Linked DNA regions of Canis lupus familiaris. The protein of the gene in region 2 purifies or fractionates together with the protein of the main gene of each other region. This does not show direct contact. Links are inferred from orthologs where the notes say so. Each region holds a gene or a part of one and is shown on either strand. Other genes may lie near its edges.

Region 1 (16,743 bases), on a different chromosome or scaffold from region 2:
CAGTAAACATTTCACAAAACATTGTCATGCACCTACAATTTAAAAAAAGATGTAAGTCCAGCTAAGATAATAAGTATATCTATTGGATAAAATAACCCAGCACATAAGCAAAAATACTATCTCCTGCTAAATTTCAGGCCCAATTTCAGAGACTACTCACTGTTAGGCAAGGACTGTGCAGAAGTCCATCTCCTCAAAGGTCTATAATGGAACTATATCTGTAATACTGTCTCTAGGGGTTAATTATAAGTCTAACCCAAACAAATGTCACCACATTACATATGCTCAGGAGAAGTATTTATATATGTTTCTGTCTAGGGAGAAAGGTTTGGTTTATAAGACTGTGAGGATAAAGGCAATGGAGTGCTTAAATGACAGGTCTGTTTCATCAATAACATCATAGCTTGTATCCCAGTACTGTCACACCAAACACAGAGTGGGTGCTTGATAAATGTGTTCTGAACTGAATCAGTGGAAAATATCTAGGCACCAGATGACAAACATTACTATTCATTCTATGAAAGCTGCTAAAATCTGATCCAGAATACTCAAAACTTTCAGAACAAAGGTAATTATAATATTTAAACTTCAAAAAGAAAGATGACTTAAATATTTCTGGCAGTCTGTAAATAGCGCTCTGGTTTGTCCTCATTCTTTTCTCTGATTATCTTAAATAAATCAAATCAGATTATATCAAATATTTGCCTATTAGAAGCCCAAAAGGTCAGAAAAACTTCTATAGCATTTCATTTTTACAGATACAATTTTAAGTCATTTTGAAAAAAATAACAGAAGAAAGGTAAATTAAATAAGTACTTACTGAGTATTGACTGTGTAGAAGGAATTAAGACTCTTTAGTGTACTAAATACAAAATATAATAATAATCACTATGGTCTGCTGAGTCTTAAAAACAAAAACAGCTCTTTAGGAGCACCTGGGTGGCAGTCAGTTGGGTGTCTGCCTTCGGCTCAGGTCATGACCCTGTAGTCACAGGATCAAGTCCCGCATCGGGCTCCCTACTCGACAGGGCGTCTGCTTCTTCCTCTGTCCTTCACCCCACTTGTACTCTCTCTCTCTCTTTCTCAAGTAAATAAATAAAATCTTTTTTAAAAAATATTTTTTAGACTAGCTATATTTTTTAAGATGAAGATTCCTTATTTTAACATATAGATTGTATTTTCATCTTGCTATTAGTAAGATAATAGTTACAATTGATGCATTCTTCATTGTCACATAAATGTGAGAGAACTAGACTATAACACAAACATTGTGAATAAGAGGAAATTTTTATTTTAACTATTCTATGCATTCATGTAAATGCTATAGAATGAAAATCAGGACAAAAATCATTATAGAAGGCAATTCTTTTTGGAAAGAATTAAAGGATTAAGAGAGGTAAACTTTACAAATTTCAGGAGTAGATGTAAATTTAAAAGACTTCCAAAATATTTCTTCTAAAAGCTTTAATGAATGTGAAGGCCTCATGATTTTAGAGATGAGAAAGTACGATACAGTTTTTTTTTAAGAGGTAACTTTATTTCTGCCATATTTCCTTTAACTTTTCATTTCAATAATTTCACTCAGAATGTATAGTTCTTTGTTATGTGGGTCCTACATAATGAAAGATTCTTGTGATGTACAAATTTATGTCTCCAGCAGATGCCCCACTGAGTACAGAGCCTAAGGTGGGGCTCAATCTCACAACCTTGAGATCATGACCTGAGTCAAAACCAACAGTCTGATGCTTAACAGACTGAGCCACCCAGCTCCCCACAAAGCCTATTCTTTAAAATGATACTCTCAATTATTTGTTCTCAGGGTCTTGTACAAAATATGTGAAATTCTAGCTTTTTTTTTTTTTGCATGTACAGTTGACCCCTGAACAACAAGGAGTTAAGAGTGCTAAGTCCTTGTGTAGTTATAAATCCATATATAATTTTTGACTCCCCCAAAACTTAGCTATAATAGCCTGCTGTTGACTGGAATCCTTATAGATATAACAGCCAACACCTATTTTTTTTTGTTTATATGCATTATATACTGTATTCTCACAATAAAGCTACAGAAATTTTTATTAAGAAAATCATAAGAGATAAAAACTTTATAAATCCCCCGGAGCCCAAGCAGTGTGAAGAAGAGGCGAGAACGACCCCAGGACCGGCCAAAGCCTGTGTGCCGCTGCATCCCCGCGTCCAGCGCTTACGTCCCGCCGCCGTCGCCACCATGCCCAAGAGAAAGGCTGAAGGGGATGCTAAAGGAGATAAAGCCAAGGTGAAGGATGAGCCGCAGAGAAGATCTGCAAGGTTATCTGCTAAACTTGCTCCTCCAAAGCCAGAGCCCAAGCCTAAAAAGGCCCCTGTAAAGAAGGGAGAGAAAGTACCCAAAGCTAAAAGGGGAAGGCTGATTCTGGCAAGGATGGAAATAACCCTGCAGAAAATGGAGATGCCAAAACAGATCAGGCACAGAAAGCTGAAGGTGCTGGAGATGCCAAGTAAAGTGTGTGCATTTTTGATAACTGTGTACTTCTGGTGACTGTACAGTTTGAAATACTATTTTTAATCAAGTTTTATAAAAATGCAGAATTTTGTTTTAAAAAAAGAAAATCATAAGAAAAAAGAGAAAATACATTTACAGTACTGTACTATATTTATCGACAAAATCTGCATATAAGTGGACCCACATAAATCAAACCCACGTTGTTCAAGAGTCAACTGTAATGGGAAATGTTTATTCTTTTTTTGTCCCAAAAGTTTACACATTAGCCTATTTGTTTTTCTGATCGCTGACATTTGTCCAAGTAAGCTATACAGACCTTTTTCTTTTAACCTTTTGACTGCTTTCACTCATTTCTCCTAACCCCTATGCTCCACTTCTTACAATCACCGATCTATTGTATCTATGAGCTTAGATTTTAGTTTTTAGTTTTTTTGTTCTTAGTTTTCACATATAAGAGAGATCATATAGTATTTGTCTTTCCCTGTCTGACTTATGGCACTTAGCATGATACCCTCTAGCTCCATCCATGTTGTTGCAAATGGTGAGATTTCACTTTTTTTTATGACTAAATAATATGCCATTATTATATCCCCCACTACATTTTCTTTACCCATTCATCCATTGATGGGCACTCAGGTTGTTTCCTTATCTCGGCTATTATAAATAATGCTGCAATGAACATGGGGGTGCATATATCTTTTTGAGTTCATGTTTTAATTTTCTTCAGATAAATACCCAGAAGTTTTATGGTTTGGGGCCATACATTCAAATCTTTAATCTGTTTTGAGTTAATTTTTGTGTGTGGTGTAAGATAGCAATTCAGTCTCATTCTTTTGCTTGCAGTTGTCCATTTTTCTCAATACTATTTATTGAGAGGACTGTGTTTTCCCCATTGTATATTGTTGGCTCCTTTGTCATAAATTAATTGAACATATATGCATGGGTTTACTTATGGGCTGTCTATTCTGTTCCATTGATCTGTTTTTTATACCAATACAATAATGGTTTGATTATAATATCTTTGTAAGATAGTTTGAAATCAGGGAGCATTATGCCTCCAGCTTTATTCTTTCTCAAGATGTTTGCCTATTTGGGATTTTTTTGTGGTTCCATATAAATTTTAGTATTATTTGTTCTATTTTCTTGAAAAATACCATTGGAATTTTGATAGGGATTGCATTTAATCTGTAGATTGTTTTTGGTATAATGGACATTTTATTTTAGCAATATTGATTCTTTCAATCTGTGAGCATGGAATATCTTTCCATTTATTTGTGTCTTTAATTTCTTTTACTAATATCTTAGAGTTTTCAATATACAGGTCTTTCATCTCCTTGGTTAAACTTATTCCTAAATATTTTATTCTTGTTGATGCAACTGTAAATGGGATTGTTTAATTTCTCTGATAGCTCATTATTATCATATAGAAACAAGATATTTCTGTATACTAATTTTGTATCTTGCAACTTCACTGAACCTGTTTATTAGTTCTAATAGTTTTTTTTAATGGAGTCTTTAGGATTTTCTATATATAGCATGTCATCTGCAAATAGTGAGTTTTACTTATTCCTTTCCTATTTGGATGCCTTTTTTTTTTTTTCTTGCCTAATTGCTCCAGCTAGGACTTCTAATACTATGTTGAATAAAAATGGCAAGAGTGGGCATCCTTGTCTTGCTCCTGATCTTGAGGAAAGGCTTTCAGCTCTTCACAGTTGAGTATGTTAGCTGTGAGTTTGTCGTACATGTCCTCTATCATGCTGAGGTATTTTTTCCTCCATATCTGCTTTCTTGGGTTTTTATGATAAATGGATATTGAATTCTGTTCAATGTTTTTTCTGCATCTGCAGCATGGGTTTGCTTGAGAGCAAGCAATATGGAGAATTTACCTAGAGCTCTGCTGTTGTCACATGGTGACTGCCATCCTCTTCAATTTTCTCTCTAGGTTGCTTTCTCTTTTTTTTTTTTAAGATTTATTTATTTATTCATGAGAGAGAGACACAAAGAGAGGCAGAGACACAGGCAGAGGGAGAAGCAGGCTCCTCACAGGGAGCCAGATGTGGGACTTGAACCCCGATTCTGGGATCATGCCCTGAGCTGAAGGGAGATGCTCAACCCCTGAGCCACCCAGGCATGCCTCTAGGTTACTTTCTTTGGCAGTTATTGAAATACATGCCTGCTGTGAGCCTGTTCATCATTTTCCATTGGTATCTATCTATACTCTTTTCAATATGTATTGAACACCTTGATGTTTCTCTCCTTTTGTCTTTAAAGCCAGCCAGTGTTTCTCAAACCATTTGTGAGAAAATCAGCTGGGTATAAAATGTTGATTCCTCAGTCCTCCCCAGGCCTTCTAAATCTCTCTGGTGAGGACCAGGATTCTGCAGGGTTTTTCTTCAAACTCTCAGATAATTTTTATGCACATTGAGAATGATCACTTTTCTCATTCTTCAAATGAACTGAAGGCATTGTAAACACATCTGTTTCTTCCCTAATATATAACAGGCTTCCCCCATACCTTACTGTGCATCATTGGTTCTCAGTGTGTTTCTGTAAATCCACAGACTGAGGAGGTGTGTGGAGTCAAAACTATTTTTATAACAATGCTAAGGCATTATTATTTTTTTAACCACAATTCTCACATGAGTGTACATTGTGATTTCCAGATACTACATGACATATCCACAATAATCTGAGGAGCCTGGTAAAATAGTCTTCCCTTTTCTAACTACACATCTGATTAAGACTGGATTTTCTTCATAACTATACGATAAACTACGTCAATATTCTGCAACAATTGAATGTTGAAGGAGATTCAATCCAGTTGTCTTCTATTAAGTCAGACATTTAAAAGGTTTGCAAAATTTGGGGGAGGAGGGAAATAGTGTTTTTTCATAAATACATGCTATTAATAATAAAATATAATGGGTTATTACTGCTATTTTTAAATGCATTCATAAATATTTTAACTTTCCTGGTTTTAATTTATAATATGGAAATAACCAGTAAACCACACCAACAGGAGAGTCCTCAATAAGTTTTAAGAGTACAAAGAAGTCCTGAAACCAAAAATTTTGAGACTTGCTTCCTCCATAGTGAATAAAACCAGAAAGTAAAGATGACTAATTATGAAATAGATAAGAATGAGAGGTACTTAGAGCTAGATAAATGGAGTATCTGAATATTTTAAATTAAATATTTATTGAGCAAGTAATATGTATAGTTTTCCAGTAACTACATATTTGTTCCCTGAAAAAAATATGATTTTGACTCGCTTTAACTCTCTTAAATATTTATGAAAGCAGAGACAAATTATGATTGCTAAATATTTTTGTCAGATTCTATATGACTTCTCTTTACCTCTACTTATGTACTAATACCTTAACCTTTCAACTTTCAACTTATTAAACAAAATAGATAACAACTTTATATGATTTTATCACTGGTTCCTAAGCATTAGGAATAATGATTCTAAAAAGTGGATGCAGAGACCTTCGTATCCTTTTCTATTCTGGGACTCTGATTAGTACCTGATAGTCACACCACATAAAAAGTGTTATGTCAACTGAGGCAAGTTTGATCATTTTTAAATTACAGCTACTTACCAAAAGTAGATTTTCTATCTTCTATCCATCGTAAGGCCCAATCTGCTTTTTTCTTAACATATGGCATTGTTTCAATTGCATTAAATAAAAATTCCCTGTAAAAACCAAAGGATTAATGGCAAAGTTATTCATTTTTCTTAATTGGAATAAATTTTCATTAGTTTAATCATCAATAATAATTGCAACTCTATGATATGCTACCAGATCTGTCGTTTTTCTATATTTTGCATGCCCACAAAGTTAAGAAATGAAACTAAAATTCAAATTAGCGGTTTGGATCTGGTCTGACACAAAATTGACTAAAGTCAATATTCATATGTGGTTTCACTCATATGTGGAATATAGAAATAATGGAAGGGATTATAAGGAAAAGGAGAGAAAATGAGTGGGGAAAAGACAGAAGACAAACCATGAGAGCAGAAGACAAACCATGAGAGACTCCTAACTCTGGGAAACAAAGGGTTGCAGAAGGGGAGGTGAAGGGGGAGGTGGGGTAACTGGGTGATGGGCACCCAGAAGGCCACTTGATGGGATGAGCACTGGGTGTTATACTATATGTTGGCAAGGTGAATTTAAGTAAAATATTTAAAGAAATAAAGTCAGCATTCAATTTCTAAAAAGAATGTGCAGTTTTTAAAGCTATAATACCCAAAGATGAACTGGTTCTATACAAGTTTTTTAACCCAACACATTATTAAACAATAAAAAGCATTTGAATAATTTTTCCCTGACATTTGGTTTTGGAGTAAATTCTGCTCTTAACATAAGCAATAGCACAAGCCTCTGTAAATAAAATCCCAGTGGTAATACCTTTTCTTGGGATCTCTGATGTAAGTGTCTATTAGCAAACTGTACATCTCTGAGTGGACATTCTCGATGAGAATTTGAAAGCCATAGAAACAGCGAGCCTCTGGAACCTGTACCTCCTGACTAAAGCGCTCCACCTACAAAAATAAGGGAAACGTATCCAATTCTGTGGGCTCTAATTAAACACTGCAAATCAGAATCTGGACATCAGAATCATCACTTAAAAATTACCTGTCATGCCAAAAATAGGTTAGACAGAATTTATAGGTTATTTTAAGCAATATTATCTATTAACCTTTTACAATAAATTAGTTGCCTAATGTATTCTCAAGCAATTAAATTAATTGACCTGATAGGTGGAGATACTTCTTATAAAGCCAAGTATTTTAGAATGGCTATCAAAAATAATTACTTTGCATTGTAAAATTGACCTTAGGTCTTTATTTTCCCCAAAAGCAGACAGATCGATTGAAGCCCCTTCTATCTAATTCTCTTTAACAAGAAGGTAAGCCTCCTGGCCAACCATGATACAAGTTTAAAAATGGGGAGCCAGAGTACAGTGCCTTATTACAGAGCTCCAGAAGGGTTTTTAATGTGCAAGCTCTCTATTAAGATTACTACCTAAGGGTAAAAATTGAAATCATGTCTACGCATTTTAAGTAGTTTTGATTGGTACAATATGTTTGATTTCATGATATTTTGGTGGTCAAATGGGAGAAATCTATCCTTTTCTTTGACACTTCATCAGAAAAACACCTTTGAAAGTTAAACTCTATCTAGTTCATTTCTTAGAAGTCGTTTTTCAGGCTTAGTCTACTTGTCTTACTGCCATTATCACCATTTAGCTGCTGAATGAGAACAGAAATAAAACAAAAATCTTACCAAATTTTCATTCACGATTCCATCACTGGCTGCAAAAAAGGCTAATATGTGAGAGATAAAATACTTCTCATCTGATTTAAGCTTGTTCCAGTGAGGGAGATCCTTTGATAAGTCAACCTGAAAAAAAAAGATTTTCAAAAATTTCAACTTGGTGTTTAATTCTTCTTAAAGTGTTTGGAAAACTAACTTCTATCTCAACGTTGGGGATGGCCATCTCATTAGCAGTAATGAAATGAAAAAGGAAGAAAAGGAAAAAAAAGTTAACATAACTCTTATAGACTGAATGTTCATGTCCTCCCCCGCCCCCACACCCCATTCACATATTTGAAACTAATGCCCAGTGTGATGGTATTTGGAGGTGCAGTCTTTGGAAAGTTATTAGGTCATGAGGGTGGAGCCCTCATGAATGGGATTAGTGCTCTTATAAAAGAGCTGTCAGAGAGCTTCCTCATCCCTTCTGCCATGTGAGAACGCAAAGTATAAGCAGATATCTCTGAACCAGGAACTGGGACCTCACCAGATACCCAACCTGTTAGAGACTTGATCTTGGAATTCCCAGCCTCTAGAAATGTGAGAAATAAAATTCTGTTGTATGTAAACCATCCAGTCTAAGGTATTACTATAGCAACCCAAATTGACTAAGACTATTACAAAAGAACACAATACAATAAAAGTATTATGAAGGGCTCTATATTCTGGCTAATTGAGGCAGAATAAACTAGTGACTTTCAGCAGCCATTGCTTTACCATGGCATATAATTTACTGTAGTGTTAAATTAGCTACCTGTTAAGCAATAGTAGCTGCTATTGTATTGCCAGCTAATCTACTTTTATACCCAGAAAGTAGTATCTGGCATGTAACAACCTATTATAAAGCAATTTACAGGTATGGCTTTCTCTGGAAATAGAAATATTTTTGAAAATGGGGGGGGGGGGTTCTGGGTGGTCAAGTCAGTTGGGCATCTGACTTCAGCTCTGGTCATAATCTCAGGGTGATAAGATCGAACCCCACATCAAGCTCCATGCTCAGTGGAAGGTCTGCTTGAGATTCTCCCTCTCCTGCTCCCTCTCCCTCTGTCCCTCCCCAACTCTGCTCTCTTGAATAAATCAATCAATCTTAAAAAAAAAAAAAAAGTGTTGGCAATACAATGGAGTTGGGGGGTATACTTGTATATATCTTTTAAAACATGTAAACTAAATATCAGGTCCTATTCTCTTAAGAGCTCAATCAGGATTAACTGACAGACACCTTCCTAGTTTTTATATATTATACTTCTGATATGAAATTTTATACTATAATATACTCATTCTTAAATATTAAACTTACCTTGTCAACCATTCACTTCAAAAAGCCTTATAAATTTCATTTATATTACATTGGTCATCTCCCATTCTTAAAATGTAAACATTCCTACTCAGCTTTTTCTCCTCTAAATAAATTCTCAATTCTACTTTCTAAATATTGATTCTAAACTACTAGTTATTAGAATTGTCTGGCAGCTTTAAAAGAAAAACCCAAAATCCTAGACCTTTTTCTTCTGAATCAAGGTTTCTGATAATTGGTCATATTTAGGAATAAAGCTACACCACAGATAAAACAATGAAGTCTAAGGTTGACATAATTTGTTTAAAGGAAAAATACATGGAACTATATGTGTTTCATTTCCTTTTAAAATGTGTAAACAGGGATGCCTAGGTAGCTCAGAGGTTGAGCATCTGCCCTCGGCTCAGGGCGTGATCCCAGAGTCCTGGGATCAAGTTCCACGTCAGGCTCTCTCTCTCTCTCTCTCTCTTTCTCTGTCTGTCTCTCATGGATAAATAAATAAAATCTTTTTAAAAAATAAAATAAAATAATAAAATAAAATGTATAAACAAAATATGTACCACCTTTGTATTTTAATTTTTTAAATCAGTGTTTTTTAGTTATAATACAACATGTATTACATTTGCTAAAAGATGCAAGTACTTTACAAATGAATTTTAAGAAGCCCAAGTATCACAAGTAGCTTTTTAACATGATGAATGAAAAAGCCACCTGTGTACTCCATTTATTCTGTTAACCATATCTAAAAAAACACATCCTAAAAACCACAGTTAAAAATAGTCAGGTGTGTCAAGCAGTATGACCCAATTAGAAAATACTGAGTTTTTACTTTGTTTTGGATTTTTTGCTCTTTTTGTTAACTAAGTATAACAAAGATGTTACCAATATAACACAAGTGGATAAATGGGTAAAATTAGTGTAATCAAAGCTTCAAAAGTTGGTGTCTTCTGATTTCTACTGTAACTCTCCCTCATTCTGTGTGAAATAGCTTATATTTATTTAGTGCTTACTAAATGCCATGTGACAATCTAAACATCTCATTATTCTCATTCATGAACTTCATCTCATTAATTCTATTCATGAGATTCATCTCAGTAATCCTTATAATAACCCAGTTAGCCAGGTATTATTAGCTCAATTTTCCAATGAGGATACACAGAGAGGTTAAGCAATTTTTCCAGTTTCATAGCTAGTAAGTGGTAGAGTCAGATTTTGTACCTAGGCATTCTGGCTCCAGAGTCTGCATTCTCAACAGTGTGTGCTTACATGTATGAAAACAATCTTCTGAAAAATAGGGAGATCCAAATATAACTATCTAAATAGATCTATTCATTTATCTATTTATCTAGATAAGTGAACACATACACACAGAGAAAGATGAAGACAATGACTATGTGTTCAATTAGACTACAGAGCAACCACTTACATGACCAACTGTCTTTACCAAACCAGCAGGTATTTCCTCATTTATTGTGTTCAAATCATTGTCTAGATGGAAAATGCTGACCTAACATACAGCATACTACAACAGTCCCGGCTGCTGAGGCAGCAGTGCCAGACTGGATGTGACTGAGGACAGGGTAGCCTAGGAGGAGCTCTGGCTGGCAGCTTAGAAGAGAGTGCACTGCCTGAGCAGGCAAATTCTCTGCCACAGCTCTTTCTGCATAATCAGGTAAGTCATTGAAAAGCAGGGTCCCTAGGGCTTTCACTCTCATTTTTTGGCCATAGCACAATTTTATTTATTCTGCTGGCCATAAGTAAAAACTAATCTTATTTGGTCATAGGAAATCAAAAGGCTATTTAAAAATAGAAAATGTTCTAAAATACATTGGAAGTAAAAACCTGGCAGACCGAGAAGCCATTTTTGCAGCGGGAGACGTGTTTATAGACAGCAGTCTACACATAAAACATTGGAGAACACTGTATTTAATTTCAGTAATTTCAGATACTATTGTATATAACTGATTTTATTCAGTTATATGTATCTTACAATATAAGTTAACATTTTTCAATGTCACATGACACAAGATATGAACACTCTACTATGGGGTGTACCTGCTGGCAAAGGTGATAACACTTACCTCTTCTGCAGTCCAGAAAGATGCCTGTGCCTGTTTATACATTTTCCAAATATCAGGGTATTGAATTGGAAAGATGACAAATCGGCGAGAACTCTTTCGTAGGAGTGGCTCTTCATCTGATTTCACTTCATTTTCATTGGTATCTGAAGATAACCTCTTTGAAAATAAAGTACAAACATCCATTTTGTGTAGACATGCCCTTGTTATTCATATCTAAACACATACTGGGGGTAATTTGAGAGACAGCACAGGTTGAGGAGCCCATCTGCCTGGGTTGAATCCTTTACTATTATCTGGAACCTGGTTAATAGTGTTTGGTTAGTCGTGTAACCACAGAAAGTTGCTTCTCTGAGCTTTGGTTTACCCTTATCAGTAAAATGACCCTTACTCTGTAGGTTAAACTTGATGATTAAAAGTGCTTTAAATGGAGCCTGGTGCATAATATGCATGCAGCAAAATTGTCATTATTGCTATTTTAAGATAAGCACAAAACTAAATCCATAAATGTTATGGTGGGCAAATTTCTAAGTTTGTGTATAAAATGTCCCTTCAGTGCCTTTTTTCAGAGATCAGATGCTGGTATGAATAGGCTACTATTATAAACTTCTTTATTTATTTTTAAGAGATTTTTAAATTTATTAATTTAAGATAGCACCAGCAGGGGGAAGGATGAGAGGGAGAGGGAGACGCAGACTTCCCACTGAGCAGGGTGCCTGACCCCAGGACCCCTGGGATCATGACTTAAGCCCATCTGCCTTGCAGATGCTTAACCGACTGAGCCACCCAGGCACCCCTACTTTCCTATTTTAATTCTTTCTAATCTGAACTATTGTAAAACTTACCTGAAAACTCCTTACCAACAATTTAGCAACCTTTGTTCATCTGAACTTTCCCATATACCAATCTGCTATTACTATTTACTTGTTAGCATTACTACAGATGGTCTCACTGTGGACTGGCTCAAAGCTTTGTAGAATCCAGTGAGAAGCACATACTTATATATACATGACTTGGAAATGATAGCATTCCAAAAGGGGACAGGGCCAGATATGTATGTATACATATACATATATCAGAACTATCAGAAGAGTTATACCTTGCATAAGAATGAATATACACAAAGTATATACAATTAGGCTAAAAATGTATAAATAAATGTATACACAAAGTATATACAATTAGGCTAAAAATTGGCATATATTTAAAATCTGGACGCCTAACTCAAACTGACGGTGTCTCTCTCCAGTGTCAGGCCAATCACATTTCTTCATCCTTATCATTGCTTCCACCAACCACACCTCTCCAGAGCAAGTGTGCTAAGGCAAGGCAAGATGAGAAAAAGACTCAAAATCAAAATCAAAGCCTGAGGCTATACAGATCCAGGTAGGGCTTGCACACTGCACACATACTGTCATCATAGTAGAGAGACTGTCTTATTTTGTAACTACTTATTTGAAGGTGTAGGCCTCCCCAGATAAAGAACTTGAGCCCTGGAGAGTAGAAACTACTTTTTATTTATTATGGCATTCCCAGACATAACATCAATAAACGTTAGCTAAGTAAGTGAATGGGCGGCTAATTTCTCTTTATCCTGTGCTTGGGCTACTGGATACCTTTTGAATTTAACATATGACCACAATACATCAGTGAGATAACCATCAATCAAATCAAGCCTTTGCTAAGTACTCCCATATCTCCCTTGTCCCCATCACCCTAAAGGCCTGGATTAAACACATAACTCACTGCATACCTTACATAGTACACAACTCACTGCAATTTAATTCCTTGTTATCCATTTAGAGTCCCCTCCAAACTATGCTTCTTGAGAGTAAAAGGTAACTTTACTTTTGTGGAACCCCTAGAACCTGACATATGACCTGGCATGTAGTTGACATTCATTTCCCCAAATATTTGAGCAAATTTTTAAAATAGAAGCTGTCAAGTTTTTTGTTTGTGTTTCCTTTATATATTTTGTCCCTGGGGTACATTCAGAGCTGGAACTCCTTACCTTCACTGTATTTGCTATGTGAACCATCATACGCAGTAACTCTTTGGTACCAAGCACCCTGGCCCTGAAGGGAGTTTTTAAATGCTGATTAAATAACTTATCAATGTCACTATCTATGAAAACTGCTGAAGACTAGCATCTTTTAGTTAGAATGAAAGTCATTTTTCTATGTAACATTCCTCCTGTTCCGTTCTGATAATATGTACGTTGTTAAGAAGTTGGATTAGCAGAGCATTATGCAAGAGTCTGAATTGAGCTAAAGATGATATATTGCTTATTTTCATGATGTCTTTAAAAATCCACACACATTTTAATCAATGTCAGGAGGACCACACATCCCAAAGCTCTAGGATCTCTAGAATATCCTCTATGGACCTGAGCTAACAACTCATATTTTAGAAGAGAAAACAACGTGGAAAAAAAGACATGATGTCATATGATAGTTTTAAAGAATTGGAAGTAACTTTCTAAGTTTGGACTTTACCATATGTGGGGGACAATGGAAGAAGAAAGCAATTAGAGACTATCCAAATGTGTTCTGAAGAACTCTGCAGTCCCTCTAATGTCACAAATGCTAGATTAAGATCTCACTATGAAATGTGTTAAGCTGTTAAAATAGTGGTAAAAAAAATAACAGATATATTCCAAAATACACAGAAAGCCACCAATCCTTGTGTTTCCAGGCTGCCATCTTTCTTCTTCTTTTTTTTTTCTTTCTTTCTTTTTTTTCTGGATGACCTCAGATAAAAGTTTTTCTAGCCATCTCTGCTTAATTGAAGACTGCATAAGATTTAGAGAAAGGTAGTTAAAAAGAAAAGAAAACAACAATAAACCCTGTAACCATTTGTATGTGTTTTTCAGAAGTGAACTAAGGGGCATCTAGGTGGCTCAGTCAGTTAAGCATCTGACTCTTGGTTTCAGTTTGAGTCATGATCTCAGGGTCATGGGATCAAGCCTCGCCTCGAGCTCTGTTGTTGCTCAGCGGGGAGTCTGCTTAAAGATTTTCTCCTTCAGTCTCTCCCCCTCCCCACCACTCTCTCTGTCAAATAAGTAAATAAATCTTTTTTAAAAAATCACTTATCTAGAAATGTGGTCAGATTAGAAATTACAGGGGGAGAGAACAATGAAAAGATCATTATCCTACCCAAATCTTGCCTGAACCAGGGTACCAGATGTAGAAACACAAAAGAAAGCTGCTTTAAGAGATATTCAGAAAAAAAAAAAGAGAGAGAGAGAGATTCAGATTCAGAAGTAGAATTAATCATTCTTGCTAAAAAATTTGGATTTTGGAGAATGGAATAAAGAAGAGTTGAAGGTGTCCTTGAGATGTCCAACAACTGGATGATCACAGCAAGAAGTAAAGACAAAGTGCTCAGCATCTGGAGAATAACTGAATAAATCAGACAAAAACTCTTGCATCTCATATTAGATGTTTAATAAAAGCTTGATTTGAATGAACTCCCCCACCAACCCCAGCTACAACAATAGTTACAAACACAACAGTCTTTAAAAGTTCAACTTGGTCAATAAAAAACATAATTCGATCAGTTTGAAGATATCCAGTAGGCAGCTAAAAATATAACACTACAGCAGATGAATGGTGGCCATCCATCCCACTATTAGTCACCAAAGGGGTTATCCAGGGAGAAAATATAGAGAAACAGCACAGCTGAGGATGCAGCCGAGAAAATGCTGACATTTGAAAGGACAGGTGGAAGAAGAGGAACCAGCTGGGATTAAAAGTGACCGAGGTGGATATAGGACAATCAAAAGCAAAGGCAGAAGTGATTTGATTTGGCTAAAGCCATTTCTGTCAACAGACAAAATAGAGAAGAATTCTGTGAAGAATCCACACTCTGGATATCAATCAGGGTAAGAGGTTAGGAATTAATTCTGCGGGCCAAATATTTTCAAACATCTGGGGGATTGAGAGGCTCATACTCCAACTCTAACTACGTGCCCCTAACCCCCAGGTACTGGTATTCACTGTAGGGCTGTTTGAAAAGCATTCTTCTGGATAGTAATAGAGAGTTTCTGAATATGAATTATCATGTATAGGGGTGGCATCAGGAGGATTCATTGGCTATCTATCCAGGATGAGCTGGAAAAGGAAAAAAAAAAAAAACATAGATTTTGGTAGCAACCATGGTATTGATCTCAGGGGTGCAAATGGTAGCCTGATTTTTTTTTTATTTAGTTTTTTTCAAGTTATTTAAATTCTGGTTAACATAAAGTACAATATTGGTTTCAGGAGTATAATTTAATGATTCATTACTTACAGCATCCAGTGCTCATCACAAGTGTCCTCCTTGGTACTCATTATTGATTTAGCCCACCCTCTGACCACCTCCCCTCAATCAACCCTGTTTGTTCTCTATAGTTAAGAGTCTCTCTTATGGTTTGTTTGCCTCCTCTCCATTTTCCCCCTTTCCTACATTCACCTGTTTTATTTCTTAAATTCCACATGAGTGAAATTCTATGGTATTTGTCATTCTCTGACTTATTTTGCTGAGCATGATGCTCTCTAGCTCCATTCACATCATTGCAAATGGCAAGATTTCATTCTTTCTGATGGCTGAGTAAAATTCCATTATATGTATCGCCACATCTCCTTTATCCATTCATCAGTTGACAAATATTTGAACAAATTTCATAAATTGGCTGATTGATAATGCTCCATCAGGGTGCGTATGTCCCTTCAAATCAGTATTTTTTGTAGCCTCTGGGTAAATACCTAGTAGTGCAATTGCTGGGTCATTGGGTAGTTCTATTTTTAATTTTTTGAGGAACCTCCATCTGTTTCCCAGAGTGGCTGTATCATTTTGCATCTCACCAACAGTATAAGAGGGTTCCCCTTTCTCTGCATCCTTGACAAACATGTTGTTTCCTGTGTTGTTAATTTTAACCATTCTGACAGGTGTGAGGTGGTATCTCATTGTAGTTTTGATTTGTATTTCCCTGATGATGAATAATGTTGAGTATCTTTTCATGTGTCTGTTGGGCATCTATATGTCTTCTTTGGAAAGATGTCATGGCAGCCTGAATTAAGATGTGGTGGTTAGGGCAACCCGGGTGGCTCAGCGGTTTAGCGCTGCTTTCAGCTCAGGTTGCCATCCTGGAGACCCGGGATTGAGTCCCACGTTGGGCTCCCTGCATGGAGCCTGCTTCTCCCTCTGCCTGTTTCTCTGCCTCTCTCGCGCGCGCTCTGTGCCTCTAGTGAATAAATAAATAAAATCTTAAAAAATAAAATAAAATAAAAATCTTAAAGATGTGGTGGTTAGCATGAAAAAAGCTGCTTCAACATGGCTTTGCCAGCCTATGGAATGGGATGCTTTTGGTGGGAATTGAGACAGTCTCAAGAGTTTTTACTTGAGAGGAGTGACATAGAGGCACTGGTTTAGTGAAGGATTAATTTAGCAATGGTAAAAAGAGTTAAACAGTGGGTAAGACTGGAGGTAAACAAGTCATTGTAGCTTCACAGTTATGAAGTATAAGACCCTGAAATAAAGTTCAGAACACAGAAGCATTTCTTGGCAACATTC
Region 2 (15,713 bases):
ATGATAGCCAGTGTGAGCTATCTAAAAGTTACTTCCTATTTAAGACTTCCACAACTCTGTCAATAGAATAGAATATCCTTCTGGAACTTCCCAAAAAAGGGCTATCAAGTTTGATAGCCTATGATGCCTGCATACTAAGCAGAACCATGTGTAAACCAGCAGCCCTAGTTTTCTCTTCTTCTGTTTACTGATCATAGGAAGCTCCCCATGAAGCCACAGGTGCAGGCTGGGAGAGGTTTAGTGGGAGTGAGGACCATGGGCATTTGGGGCCACTTCAATAACTTACTTGTACTTCCAGGGCTTCTTGTATATACCACTTCAGTGTGTGTATCATTTGATGATGGAATACTGCTGTGCATGCCTAACTTTATGGCTTGGTGAGTCAAATAGCACCCAGTTCATGATGGGCAGATCAGGTTGCATAGTGGCCCATGGTTAAGCATTCAGTCTCTATGAAGGCTGAGCAGCAAGCCAAAAGATATTTCTCAAAAAGTGTGTAGTTATCAACAGAGGATGGCAGGGCTTTGCTCAAAATCCTAAGAGCCCAGGGCACCTAGGTGGCTCCATGGTTGAGCATCTGCCTTTAGCTCAAGTCATGATCCCGGAGTCCTGGGATAGAGTCCCACATCACGCTCACCACAGGGAGCCTGCTTCTCCCTCTGCCTGAGTCTCTGCCTGTCTCTGTGTCTCTCATGAATCAATAAATAAAATCTTAAAAAAAAAAAAATCCTAAGAGGCTGCAGAGGCTCCAAATAGCATCCCTTATCGCAACTGCCACTTCAGCCCCCTAGACATGCTAGATCGTATAGCCCAAGTGGCAGAGCAGCTTGCATGGCAGCCTAGGCCTGTTCCAGTCTTCTCTGTTTCTGGTCCCACTCAAAACTAATAGCTTTTCGGGTCATTTGGTTAAGCCAGAGTAGCACACCCAAATGAGGAACATGTTGCCATGCTGCCTCCAAAATCCAAAGAGGCCCACTAGGCATTGTGCCTATCTTTTGGTTTTAAGAGGAGCCAGATGCAACAATTTATCTTCCACCAAAGAAGGAATATCTCAACATGTCTTATACCATTGGACTCCTAGAAATTTCACTGAGATAGAAGGCCCCTGAATTTTTGTCAGATTTATTGTCCACTTTCTGACACACAATTATTTTACCAGTAAGTCTAGAGTAGTTGTTACTTCTTAGGTCCAATCAGCAGTAGGCCCAATCAACATGTCATCAATGTACTGGAGCGATGTGATATACTGTGGAAAAGGTGATCAAGTGGATAGAACTGGAGGGTATTATGCTGAGTGAAATAAGTCAATCGGAGAAGGACAAACATTATATGGTCTCATTCATTTGGGGAATATAAAAAATAGTGAAAAGGAATAAAGGGGAAAGGAGAGAAAATGAGTGGGAAATATCAGAGAGGGAGACAGAACATGAGAGACTCCTAACTCTGGGAAACGAACAAGGGGTAGTGGAAAGAGAGGTGGGCGGGGGGTTGGGGTGACTGGGTGACAGGCACTGAGGGGGGCACTTGATGGGATGAGCACTGGATGTTATTCTATATGTTGACAAATTGAACACCAACAACAACAAAAATAAAAATAAAAGAGTAAACTTCCAAAAAAAAAAAAAAAAAAAAAAAAGAGCCAAAGGAAAACATGGACAAACAAATAAAGGGAATCAGAAAAACAATGTATTAAAATCAGAATATTTATAGATATTCTGATAGGAACTGTTCAAGGGAAACAAACAGGAATTTTAGAGCTGAAAATGACGAGATAAAAACTTCACTAAAGGGGCTCAAAAGATGTGAGCATGAAGAAGAATCAATGACCATGATTATAGGACAGTTGGAATTACTGAGTCTAAGGAACAGAAAAAGAATCAAGAAAAGTGAATGAACTCTAAGAGACTGTGGGAAACAAGCAGTGGAACAAAAGGTACATTATGGAAGTCCCAGAACGAAAAGAAAGAGAAAGGGGCAAAAAGATTATCTGAAGAAATAATGGCTAAAAACGTCCCAAATTTAATGAAAGGTGTGAAGCTACTGATCCAAGTAGTCCAACGATCAAGGTGGATAAACTCAGGGATCCACACCAAGATACATAAAAATCAAACTGTCAAAAGCCATTAGTTGGCTATTATAAAAAATACAAAAAACTAGCAAGTGTTGGCAAAGATGTGGAGTAACTGGAACTCCCATGCACAACTGGTAGGAATGCCAAATGGTGCAGCTCCAATAGAAAAGTCTGGCAGTTCCTCAAAAAGTTAAACATAGAATTATATAGTCCCACAATTCCACTTCTAGGTACAAACCCCTCAAAATTGAAAACAGTAATCCAAATAGATACTTATGCATCAATGTTCATAGCAGCAGTATTCACAATCACCAAAAGGTGGGAATAACCCCAATGTCCATTAACAAATGAATGGGTAGACAAATGTGACATACAGTGGAATATTACTCAGCCTTTAAGAGGAATTAAATTCTGCTATATGCTACATGAACCATGAAAACATGCTTTGTGAAGAAAGCCAGACACAAAAGGTCACATATTATAGTATCCCATTTATATGAGATACCTAGAATAAGTAACTTCAAAGACAAAGTAAAACAGAGGTTACCAGGGATTAAGAGAAGGAGATGAGGAATTACTGCTTTAGTTTATGTTTGGGATGATAAAAAATTTCTGGAAATAGGTAGTAGTGGTATAGTTGTATATTATATATGTACTCAGTGGCACTAAATTGTATGCTTTTTAAAGTGGGTAAAACAGTAACATTTATGTTAAGTATATTTTACCACAATAAAAAGAGGAAATAGGCATATGTTAAGATCAGAATTCAACACAGAATCTAAGTAATTTTTTTTTAAATTTCTTCCCTGAACTCTCAAAGAACAGAAATTTTTTTTTCCAAATTTGACCTTTGTATGAAAATAAATGACAAATTTGGTCTCACACAATCACTTAGAAATGTTTATTTCAGAATGACCTATAGGACCTTATCCAGAGAAAGGTCCTATCAGCACTTCTCACAGGTTAGGACTCAGTTTTGCGTCTATGGACTCACCAGTCAAAGCAGCAAAACCATGTCTCCTTATGAAAACTGAGGTCACCAGAAAAGGGGTGCCAGGTGGGCAATGAAACCCTACTCAATCATTCCTTATTTGCAAGGTGACTTGTTTTGCACTCCTAAAACTTCTACTTTGATTCCCAAAATACCAATTTTTAAAATCAATACTTTCACACTATATAGAAACAGTACTTTAAATTGACTGATCCTTTTGCTGCAATGAGATCCAGCAAAGCCTTAGCACTTCAAACAAACCTACAATGCCTATCTATGCTCAAGAAGTAGTTTGTCTGTGAAGAAGTGCTGGTCTCTTCTAAGCCTTTCCTCAGGACCCACACATCAGACACTCCTCTCTATTCTCCAAAGAGCACACCATGGCTGCTGTGTTCCTTTCCTTCTCTTCTTCTTCTTTTGTTGCCTTCTCCTTATCTTTCAGCTTCTCCTTATTTAGAGTGAACTGGATTGGATTTGCTGCTGGTCGTGTCCTTAAGTAATACATCCCAGTCTTCAAACCCTACAAGGAAGCAAATACAACTATCAGAAATTGTAAGAATACAAAACAAAAAAAATTGTAAGAACACTAGACATTCAAGACCAATGTTTAAAATACATTTCCATAAACCACGTCAGAATGTTTTCTAAACTTGAAATTCCAACTCCTCTAGGAAGCCTTCTCAAAAATGCTTAAAGGAAGAGTCAAACAGTATTCCAAAGGCAAGGAAAACAAAGGCAAAAATGAACTATTGAGACTTCATCAAGATAAAAAGCTTTTGCACAGCAAAGAAAACAGTCAACAAAACCAAAAGACAACTAATAGAATGAAAGAAGATATTTGTAAATGTCTTCTCAGATAAAAGGCTATATTATATACCACTTCACACTGGTCAAAATGGCTAAAATTAACAAATCAGGAAACAACAGATTTTAGCAAGGATGAGGAGAAAGAGGAGCCTTCTTATACTTTTGGTGGGAATGCCAGCTTGTGCAGTCACTCTGGAAATAGTATGGAAGTTACTCAAAAAGTTGAAAAGAGCTACCCTACAACCCAGCAATTGCACTACTAGGTATTTTCCCTAAAGATACAAATGGAGTGATCTGAAGGGGCACCTGCACGGCAATGTTTATAGCAGCAATGTCCACAATAGCCAAATTATGAAAAAGCCCATATGTCCATCAACAGATGAATGGATACACACACACACACACACACACACACACACACACACACTGGAATAGTACTCAGCCATCAAAAAAATATGAAATCCTGCCATTTGCAACAACATGGATGGAACTAGAGTGCATTATGCTAAGTGAAATAAATTAATCAGAGAAAGACAATTATATGACCTGACTCATATATGTGGAATTTAAGAAACAGCACAGAGGATCATAGAAGAAAGGAGGGAAAAATATAACAAGATGAAATCAGAAAAGGAAACAAACCATAAGAGACTCTTCATCACAGGAAACAAACTGAGGTTTGCCAGAGAGGAGGCGGGTGAGAGGATAGGGTTACTAGATGATGGAGGGCATATGATGTAATGAGTGCTGGGTATTATATAAGAGTGATGAATCACTGATCTTTATCTCTGAAATTAATAGTATACTATATGTTAATTAATTGAATTTAAACTTTTTTAAAAGTCCACTCTTCCTTAAAAAAGAAAAAAAAAAGAGACAGTATATTACATTCCTTTTATCCCTAAAAAAGCTTACCTCTTTGGAAATGTCAAATATTTTTGTTCTCTAGGTTTTGTATTATGTGTATGACTTCCAAGTTTGCCTATGACAACATGTCTGCTTTTTAACTATTTAGGGAGCTAGACTGCGTCTCTATAAAGAACAGATGATGACTATTTCAAGGATAAAGATCATCATATCTTCTATTTGGTATCCTCAGTCTTAGTACACAGGATGTATTCAATAAATGTCTCTTAAATTAAAAAAATATATATACATCTATATAAATACCCAGCAGACTGCCAGGTAAAAAAGGATAGAATACAGGATTATAGGACTTTACAGCTGGCAATGCCAAGGTAGGTAACTGGCATTTATACTGTAGATAGTTAAAGTGGGGAAACAATGGATGTTTTTGAATAGTGGGTTGATAGGCATAAAGTTTTACTTTAGAAATGATAGCAGTGCACAAGACAGCCTGGAGCAGATACCAGAAACAGGGAGATCAGTTAAGAAATTAAGAATAATGGCAATGGAACAGGAAGAAAGATATTCAAGAAATAGTAGAAAGGAACAACCACCACAACTTAGTGAGTAATTGTATGGAGAATAAGGGGAGAAGTGTAGGTAACTCCAAGGTTTCAAACCTAAGAATGAAATAATCCCAAAAGAAACAAGGATATCCAAAGTGAGCCCCTGATCTGGTACAAAAACCATGATTTGGTTTTAACATACTGGATTTGAAGTGGAAGAACTGCTAGATGGCAATATTAAGTAGCTAGAATACAAAATTGTATTTGGAATTTGTATTGTTCCAATTCCAAAATATCCCAAGCAGGCAACAAGTCCTCCTTGATTTCCTCTACCAACCTGCTTCCAGCCATAGAAGTGCATACTGGTGAGTTTGCCATAGTTAGGCTCAGCAATGTGGATGTTCAAAGACTGGCTTTGATCAATGAAAGCGCCTCTTTCAGCTGCCATCTTAAGAACGATTTTCTGGGAAATTTCCCACACAGTCTTATAAAGTTGCTTCAGGTCATCAGGGATTTCTGGAATGCTCTGAAGAAGGAAAACCAAATGTTTATCACAGTCTGGCTGAAGAAATCAGTATAATTAACATAATTAACGACACAAGGGTCTGGCCTTAATTCTTCCTGCCAGATCTGACCATACCATTCAGTATCATATAATATGATCCTTATCAAGTTTCCCAAGACTGCTCACCTCTGCCTTGGAATGACCAACAAAACCTCATTTAACCAACAAAGTATCTGGCTGGTGGTAATGATTTAAGATCCATTTCTATTTGGATTATAGTCAAAACATTCATTGTTTTAGAGGTACTTAATAAAAGATGGAGCTAAGCAGCAACAAATGATCCTTGAGTTTTAAAGAAAACACAAGTAATCAGGACTGTAACTCACAAGTAGAAAATCAATGGAAGCAATGAAACGAACCTGTTTCGGAGTCAATAGAAATAATGTTTTCTTAGGTCTAGGGTTAATATGCCATCAAAACATACAAACTAGCTAATGCTACAATTTCTGTCAGCAAATATAGAAATGTTAGAGAAATCCTTCTCTGTTTTGCCAAGGAAACAAATGTTTAGACAGAGGGCTCCATCTACATATAAATACTTCTTGATTCTCTGCTGCAAATATTCTATTGTTAAACAATATCTGTGGCTCTGTTTTTCGGACTTTGAGTCTTCAGTCTCCACTTTTGCTTTTTAATTAAGTTTAACTTTCTAATTTCACACTTTATATCAGTGGTCCCCCAAACTTTGATGCATTTTGGAATGACCTAGGGCATCTTTAAAAAATAGTAATGCCTGGCTCCCATTTCCAGACATTCTAATTTACTTGTTTGGGAGTACAACCTAAGCTTCAAAATTTTTAAAGCTCCCACTGATTCTAAAGTACAGAGAAGTTGGAAACTACGCTTTATATTATTGCACAAACAAGACAGTAAAAGCCTAGCTATGTGAAGATGTATATAATCCTAGCACAACAATGCAAAGGTGAACATAGCCTAAATGACCACAGTGAATAACCTTTCTCTCTACTGCATGGGATAAGTGAGAAGGTACCAATGTAGCTTCTAAAGAACACACATGATTTTCATTCTGTACCTGGATAGAACCATTGCATGCAATAATCTGATTTTTCATCTCTTCATTCCACAAGCCCCGCTCAGTAAGATCCTTTAGTAAGTGAGGATTCACAATCTGAATAAAAAACCAAGATGTCAAGGAATAAATAAGAATGACAGGGCCTAAATAGGATCACAGGCTTGGAGCTTAAAGTAAATAAGATCACTGAAGAAGTATTTAACATTAGATTAGTCGGTAAATTCTCTATCTTGTAAGACTGAGAGGCCCATCCTACCAATCAAAAGTTATATTCCTTTAAAATCTTGATCTGTAATTCAAGAAACATAATATTTGCAAAAGTAAAAAGAACTAGCATTGCCTAAAATGGGTAAATCTATGGGGATTAATTCCCCCTCCCCCAAGTAAGGATACAATAAATAGTTAAGAAAAATTAGTAATGTATCCACTCCAAACTTAAAGAAATTTATTTCAGATCTGGAAATTCACAAATAAAAATCTTTTAAATTAGTAGTTCTTAACCCTAGTTGCACATTAGAATTATCTGGGAACATTAAAAAACACTGGTCCTATCCACCAGAAATTCTAATTTGTAAACAAGGCTGAAAACAATTGTCATGGTTCCATATACTTTTTGCTTCTATATACATCTTGAGTTATTATCGACTTAAACATCTGAAGTTACAGTGCATATAATTATGATTACATAATGGTTAAATATGTGAACTCTAATATCAAGAAGTTACTTTTCTACCCAACCTTCAATCATTTATTCTTTTCACAGATATTTATTGAATGTCTATTATCAAATAACACAGAATAATATTGGAGATGAAGATGACTCACTGTATCAAAGCTTTGCACCCATACTAAGCAAAAGAGACATACCAAACATGAGTTGGCATTTACTCCTAACATCACGCTTTTGCAAGATCTCCTGTAGGTCCAGTCGTAATCTTCTCACCTGAAATTCTCCTGATAAGACTCTTCGAGTATAGATGTTGCTGGTATAAGGTTCAATGGACTCATTATTTCCCAGAATCTGAGCAGTTGAAGCAGTAGGCATTGGGGCAATAAGTAAACTGTTTCTTACACCATACCTAAAGAAAAGGAGATTATTAGGTGTTGGTACTAAAGCTATAATCTGCCAGGAAGGTAGCTAGTTAAGTCACTGGGGTAAATGCAGATGCTGTGAGTGACATAATACATGCATTAGACTCACATAATGACTTGAATTTAACCGCTATAGAGACGCAACTTCACAGTATGGATGATATAGCTCACCCCTCTCCTAAACTCCTAAACAAAATTAGCACAATTTTACTGCTGGCGATTCTTATCACACTATGACTTATTAGCACTTGATACACTAGCTTCCCCAAGGAAATAACCAAATGGCTGTTGAAGAGTCCTAATCAGGGTACATTCATTCAATCCTCATTGTTTTCTAAGTGCTCATTTGATCACTGTGCTAAGCCCTTTCAGGAAACATAATGATGTGAAAGTGGTCAGAATCGGACATGTCACCAAAATTCTCCAAAGGGAAAAATTATGCTCAAAGTATATTCCTGACTTCTATTACTTCTTCAATCATAAGTTCCTAGAGAGGAAGGTTAACATCTTTTGACTCTACTCACTGACAAAGAACGTGCTTAGGGAAGAATATACTATCTGAACACTGAGAAATCTTCAAACTGCTCTTAGCTCATCCTTCAAAGCTCAGCCTAAGAGATGACCACTCTAGGAACATCTTCCTGACCAGGTAGACAATATTAAAAATAAGTACTAGTTATAAATATTTCTCCTGCAAACATTTTCTATGACCTGTACCTTTATATATATACTTTACCTATACTTCATGTCTTACCCTTACTTAGTCTTAAGTTTCTCAAACATAGAGTTTATCTTTCTTATATTCTATACCTCTGGATTTATACAGTACTTAGCTTAAAGCTTCATATCCTAATGGAATCTATACAACTGAGATCTTAATCTCACTTTCTCACTTTCTAGTTTTGAGGCATCAAGCAAACGATCAACTCACTTCATGTCTTTCTTCCTCAGTAAAATGGACAGTGATTTCCTGTCCAAAGAAAGGAAAATGTTTTGAAAAGTCATCTATACAGGACATACCAAACTATGGAATGCTCTGTAACCATTAAAAGCATTAGGTAGATCTGCATGTACTAGGAAGAAAAGATGGCCAAAATAAATCACTAAAAGTCTTAGAATATGTCAAGTTTGATCACAGTTTTAAAACAAAACTGTGCATCTCTAAATGTACTGAAAAAGGTCTAGAAAATGTTTATTTCTAGGAAAAGGAATAAGTTGGCTTATGTTTTGTAGAACAAGTAGTTGGCACAAGAGGATTAAAAAGAACTTTCACCTTCTGTTTTATTTCCATATTTGAACTTTGTTATTCATGTATTAATTGTGAAATGCTAAAAAGTTATGTATAGAAAAATATCTATACAGTATTTGGAAAAAAAAATAAAATACAGGTCTTTTTGTAAAAGTTGAATTTGTATGTAAATATACACATTCAGAAGAAATTCTGAAAAATGAAAGACAAAGATATAAACAGGTTTTTAGGAGGAGGTCGTACTGGGATAATTTTCATTTTTCTCCCTTTCACACATACATTTTCCTAGTTTAAAACATTTTTTTCCTAGTAATAAAACAATTTAAAGGCAAATAAACAAATTTAAGACAAAAAGCAACTGCTTCCTCCTGTACACATCACTTTGGATATGCATTAACCCAGAGAGGATAGGCTCATGAAGAAAGTAAAAACAATTTGTTTTATTATTCACTAAGCAAAACATTTTCCCACCTTTAAACCTTTTATGTTTATTAATTTGAAAAGCCTTAACAACCTCAAGATTTACATTTTTCTACCACACAATTTAATACATTAAACTCCAAAAGCTCTTCCAAAATCCTTAACTTACTCCTAGGACAATCAATTCAGCAAAAGTCATTTAGGAGCCCAGTAGAGTTAAGCAACAAATAAAAGTGAAAAACATATAAAAAGCAAGCACACTTGGAAATATGAAAGTTTAATGAGAAAAAGAATTGCTTCATCCAGGTAGTTAAACCCCTAAAACATAACCAGCTAACAATAGTACCTACCATTTATGAGGGTGGGCGGATGGGGGAACTAGGAGGGCACTTGATGATGAGCACTGGGTGTTACACTGTTTGTTGGCAAATTGAATTTAAATAAAATATTTTTTTAAAAATGCTTTCATTGTACCAAGCAATTTGTAGGTTACTGTTCATACATTTATCTTACAAAGTATTTTTACAGAAATAGTCCTGTAAGACGTGGTCTATGTATACAATGGAATATTACTCAGTCATTAGAAACAACAAATACCTACCATTTGCTTCGACATGGATGGAATTGGAGGGTATTATGCTGAGTGAAATAAGTCAATCAGAGAAGGACAAACATTATATGGTCTCATTCATTTGGGGAATATAAAAAATAGTGAAAGGGAATAAAGGGGAAAGGAGAAAAAATGAGTGGGAAATATCAGAAAGGGAGACAGAACATGAAAGACTCCTAACTCTGGGAAACGAACTAGGGGTGGTGGAAGGGGAGGTGGGTGGGGGGTGGGGGTGACTGGGTGGCGGGCACTGAGGGGGGCACTTGACGGGATGAGCACTGCATGTTATTCTATATGTTGGCAAATTGAACACCAATAAAAAATAAATTTATAAAAAAAATAGTTCTGTAGATAGGTCATTTTAGCCCCATTTGAAAGAGAAAAAATGAGTTTCAGAAGTTTAAATAACATGCCTAATTTCTGAAAGCCAGAATGAGAACCAACCCTCCTTACTTCAAAGCTACCTTACATCTCTTTGCTTACTTTGCAATCTTTTCCTTGAGAAGTTTCCAGTCCCATAGTTCTGTGGGAGTAACATTCCACATATCATACTGAAGGATCTAGAGAACAAACAATGCAAATTTATGATAAATCACTCTATAACAATTTGAAACCATAACAAAAACCAAATGACTATCTGCCATGCCCCACAACCCAACAAATGTCTTCTAGTAGAACTGTCCAAAGGTCCAAAGATTTCCCTGGACAAACTTTCATGCAGTCATATTGATCAAAAGCAGGCTAAGAAAACTGGTAAAGCCTTAGCTTTTCCCCAAATCCCTGCTGTGAGCCCTCAGAAGATCCGTATTATATCTACAAATCAGGAAATCCCAATATTCATGTAAGTATGTTGTTGAGATGCATTCTCTTTTTGTACAGTAAAAATTCCATCTTTCTTAGTTGCCTTGATTGATTTATTTAGTTATTAAATACCTGTTTTCAAACTACTAGTTATCAGATTTCCTAAATATCAGCAGGAACACCAGGACTAAAAATAACATAATATTTTATTTTACACTGAAGAGACTCATACTACCAATAATGAAGGCAGTGTGGGAAGCAGATTCTAAGACAGTTTCCAAGTTTTGACTCCCTGGTGCCAGGACATGTACAATGTCCTCCTGAGTGTGGACAAGAACTGGGAATGTGGTGGATGTCACTCACATAATTATGGCAAAGGTGAAAAGTTTATGCAAGTGTAATTAACGTTACTTATCAATTAATTTTGATTAAAGAAAAGAAAGATTATCCTGGGTAGACCTCACATATCAGATGAAAACCCTCAGAAGAGCAATTGGGCTGGGGCCTTCCTGAAATGAGAGATTCTCCCTCCTACTGGCTTTGAAGAAGCACAATGTCATGGGTTCTACAAGTACAAATGAATTCTGTCAACAACCAGATGAGCTTCAAAAAGGACTCTGATCTCAAGAGGAGACCATAGTCCTATCAACAGCTTTAGTATAACCTTGTGAGACCCTAAGAAAACCCAGCTAGGCAAGCTTGCATCCTTGACTCAAGGGAATAGAGATAATGTATGTTGTTTTAATCTAACTAAATTTAGCAAAAGAAAACTAATACAGTTAGTATTCTTCTTAAGTCACTTTTACCAATGACTAGTTCTAAATAAAACATTAAAATAAAGGAGTGTCTGGCTGGCTCAGTGGGTGAAGCATGCAACTCTTGATCTCAGAGTTGTAAGTTCAAGCTCCATGTTAGGTGTAGAGATTACTTAAAAATATAATCTTGGGGCAACTGGGTGGCTCAGTCAGTTAAGCATCTGCCTTTGGCTCAGGTCATGATCCTGGGGTCCTGGAATCGAGCCCCACATGGGGCTCTCTGCTCAGAAGGGAGTTTGCTTCTCCCTCTCTCTCTGGCTCTTCCCTCAGCTTGTTCTCTCTTTCTCTCTCAAATAAATAAATAAATCTAAAAATAAATAATACAATAAAATAAAATCTTAAAAAAAAACATTAAAATAGAGTATCCTTTTTACTCTAGAGAGCAAAAGTACCATATTAGTTTCTTATGGCTGGTATAACAAATCACCATAAATTTGGCAGCTTAAAATAACTAAAATTTATTCTCTCATAGTTCTGGAAGCCAGAAGCCCAAAATGAACATGTTGGCAGGGCCACACTCCCTCCACAGGCTCTAGAGGAGATTCTGTTCTTTGGCTCTTTCAGTTCTAGTGGCTACTGGCATTCTTGGGTTCTAGATGCATTACTCCCACCTCTGCCTCCATGGTCATGTTGCCTCCTCCTCTTCTGTCTCTCACAAGGACTACTGTCACTGGATTTATGGCCCACTGGGGTAATCCAGGATAATCTCACTTCAAAATCCTTAATTACATCTGCAAAGACCCTTTTTAAATCCAAAAAAGTAACATTCATAGGTTCCAGAGATTAGGATGCGAATATCTTTTTGAAGACTACCATTCAGCCAACTATAGGAACTCACAGGCAAAAAGAAATTTCATCCATATACTTACTCCTCTGCTGACTGGAGAACCTTCATAGGTTTCATATGGCCCATGCTCCTTGGCCAGGTCACAGCTGGCCTCCAAGGCTCCATAATAAATGGTTTCAAAGATTTGCTTATTCAGTAGCTGGGCTTCTGGACTCTCAAAAGGATACCTCATCAGAATAAAAGCATCTGCCAGACCTTGTACCCCAATTCCAATGGGGCGATGGCGTTTATTTGATAAGCATGCCTTTGTGCCAGGAGATTTAAAGAAGGAGACATTATTGAACAGGAGAGGCAACAATCTATACCAAATAATAACATGTTCTCTTTTTATCTGTTTTCTCACATCATTCCAATGATAGCCATTTAAATGATGACTGGCAGACCATTATAAACTCCCTCCAACTTAATTTCAATAATTACCAAGAAGCAAAGACCTCTATTCATACCTCTGGGACAGGGTAATAGTTAATATCAATAATTTTATTCAAGTTTCGGACAATGACTTTGGTGACTTCAGCCAGCTTCTTAAAATCGTATGTGTGTTCTGATGTAACATACATATTCAGGGCCAGGGAAGCCAAGTTACAGACTGCAACCTGGAATGCAATGAAAATGGGTCAAGAATCACACAATTTTTATTTCTTCCCCCTGTGTCAATGACATCATGTAAGCCTCTAACACTATAAAATTTTTATCTTTATCTTCAACCTCTTCATAATTCATTTCTAAATCCCAGTACCTATTCACATGTGAGTTGTAACATGGACCAGTGAAATAGATAAGACAGAGAATCTGTGTTCCATAGTCCAGACATACCTCCCATCGTGCTATAATTTCTTACGTGTATCTGTCTGTCAGTAGATGTGTGCTGTCCAATACAGTAGCCACTAGTCATATATAGTTATTTAAAAAAAATTAAAAATTCAGTTTCTCAGTTGCACTAGTCATGTGCTCAGTAACTACCAGATACATTTCCATCACTGTAAAAAGGTCTTCCAAATTATACAATCCTCCCTTACTCTCACTGAGATTCTGATAAGCCCCTAACAACAGGGGATCCAAGTTTGTGAATTTTAAAAAAGCTCTTCAGGTGATTTTCCACTACACTACACTAGGTGGTAAACTTTTCCAGGAAAGAATTGTATTTCATTTACCCTTATATTTTTTAGTACTAGTATCACATCTGGTATATAAAAAATGCTTAATAATGTTAAATGAATACACTTTCTTTTTCATTTTGATTATGACTATCCTAACCCACAATCTCAACTCCTCTCAACTAGACTCTCTCATGCTCATCGTACCTACTCAATTCTGCACGTTATGCATGTTTAAAGCACAGCTCAGACTACACAAGTCTAATGAATGCAAGGGAGAGAAATAAGGCAGGAAAAGACAAAAGGGTTCTAGGAATAAGGACAGAAGGAGTGCCATTTTTAAACAGAGTTGACAAGAAAGACCTCACTGAGAATGAGACATACGAACAATGAAATGAAAAGCTAGGGGCAGCCGGGGTGGCTCAGCGGTTTAGTGCCACCTTCGGCCCAGGGCCTGATCCTGGAGACCGAAGATCAAATCCCATGTCGGGCTTCCGGCATGGAACCTGCTTCTCTCTCTGCCTGTGTCTCTGCCTCTGTGTGTGTGTGTGTGTCTCATGAATAAATAAATAAAATCTTTGAAAAGAAAAAAGAAAAGGTTAGACGGCAAGCCATGTGACTATTTGGCGGGGGAGAGCATTTTAACAAAGTAAAAGCATAAATCCTGATGACAGAGTGTACTTGATATATCTGGAAATTATAGGGCGGGAGCACAGTGAGCAAGGAGGAAACTAACAGTAGATGAGATGGGCATACCCAGTTGTGCATGAACTCAGAGCACTGTAGGAATTCTGGATGGAAATGAATAAAATACCAATACATATTACAACACAGATAAGCCTTGAAAACATGCTAAGTGAAATAAGCCTGATAGAACAGACCACCATATCATATTATATGATTCTGTTTATACAGAATGTCCACAAGAAGCAAATCCAGAGGCAGAAAACAGATTAAGAGTTGCCAGAGATGGGGAAGGAAGGCAACTGGCAAGCTACTGCTAATGGATACAAGGTTTCTTTCTGTGTTGATGGAAAGTGTTCTAGAATTAGATATTAATGACGGTTACACAACCTTGTAGATATACTAAAAAACACTGATATGTGCACTTAGAAGGATGAATTTTATGGTATGAGAATTATATTTCAATTTTAAAAAAGAATGAACAAACTCTGCATGGGACGGAAAGTCAAAGAGGAGTGCTGTGTGGAGGAATGATATGGTCTGATTTGTGTTTTAAGAGGGTCTCTATAGCATAATCTATCCTGTACAATAGTTACTTGAGTATGGTATATTTTCTCCAATAATGAATTATAAGTTTCTAAAGGGCAGGGCCTGAGCCATAATCATTTACATCCCAGAGCACCTGGTACAGTGCCTTACCTATAGCTAGTGCTCACTACCTCTGGCTAAATTAAACTGCAGTATGTTTAATTCACTTAATCATTTTCTTCCCCACTTTTCATTTGTCATGTTTTTTAGGTCCTAGCAGATGGTATCTGCTCTTTCTTCCTCATCTCCAAAGTTTACATCCAACATCCAAGCAGCCTGTCATCCAAAAACTATAATAATCTCCATAAGCTAACCTCCAACTTCCTTTCACAGCAAGACACTCAATTATTACCAGAAACAAGAACTATCCTTCACATCCCAGCCTTTTGAAGCTATTTTCCTTTTTGGAACTTATGAGGGCTTTCTACTCTGTGACATGCCAGACATTTCACCTACTATCTCCCCTCCCCCAGCCATAGCCTATCTCTCCATATACCAAACCATAATGTATTTGCTCCATCAAAACAAACTTACTTGACATTCTCTGCATAAAACCTATTCCTGTCTCAGATCTGACAGGCTGTTCTTCCCAAATGGAAAATTTTTTCATAAGATTAAACAACAACAACAA

What was found.
Region 1: the proteins of RRM1 (region 2) and RRM2B purify together in Homo sapiens (affinity purification with western blotting; 3 studies listed by BioGRID and IntAct, counting the BioPlex papers as one, with this or other methods). This does not show direct contact. The link is inferred for Canis lupus familiaris from reciprocal best matches to the Homo sapiens genes RRM1 and RRM2B.

The regions. Positions count from the first base shown.
Region 1 is NC_049234.1:3,951,849-3,968,591, forward strand, and holds part of RRM2B (ribonucleoside-diphosphate reductase subunit M2 B), read right to left. Parts: intron 11,350-16,743; coding exon 11,194-11,349; intron 7,906-11,193; coding exon 7,789-7,905; intron 7,044-7,788; coding exon 6,910-7,043; intron 6,195-6,909; coding exon 6,100-6,194; intron 1-6,099.
Region 2 is NC_049242.1:26,737,066-26,752,778, reverse strand, and holds the end of RRM1 (ribonucleoside-diphosphate reductase large subunit), read right to left. Parts: intron 13,310-15,713; coding exon 13,160-13,309; intron 12,958-13,159; coding exon 12,736-12,957; intron 10,811-12,735; coding exon 10,734-10,810; intron 7,959-10,733; coding exon 7,823-7,958; intron 6,976-7,822; coding exon 6,880-6,975; intron 5,808-6,879; coding exon 5,619-5,807; intron 3,583-5,618; coding exon 3,394-3,582; 3' UTR 2,949-3,393; downstream 1-2,948. UniProt on the Homo sapiens protein: Provides the precursors necessary for DNA synthesis. Catalyzes the biosynthesis of deoxyribonucleotides from the corresponding ribonucleotides.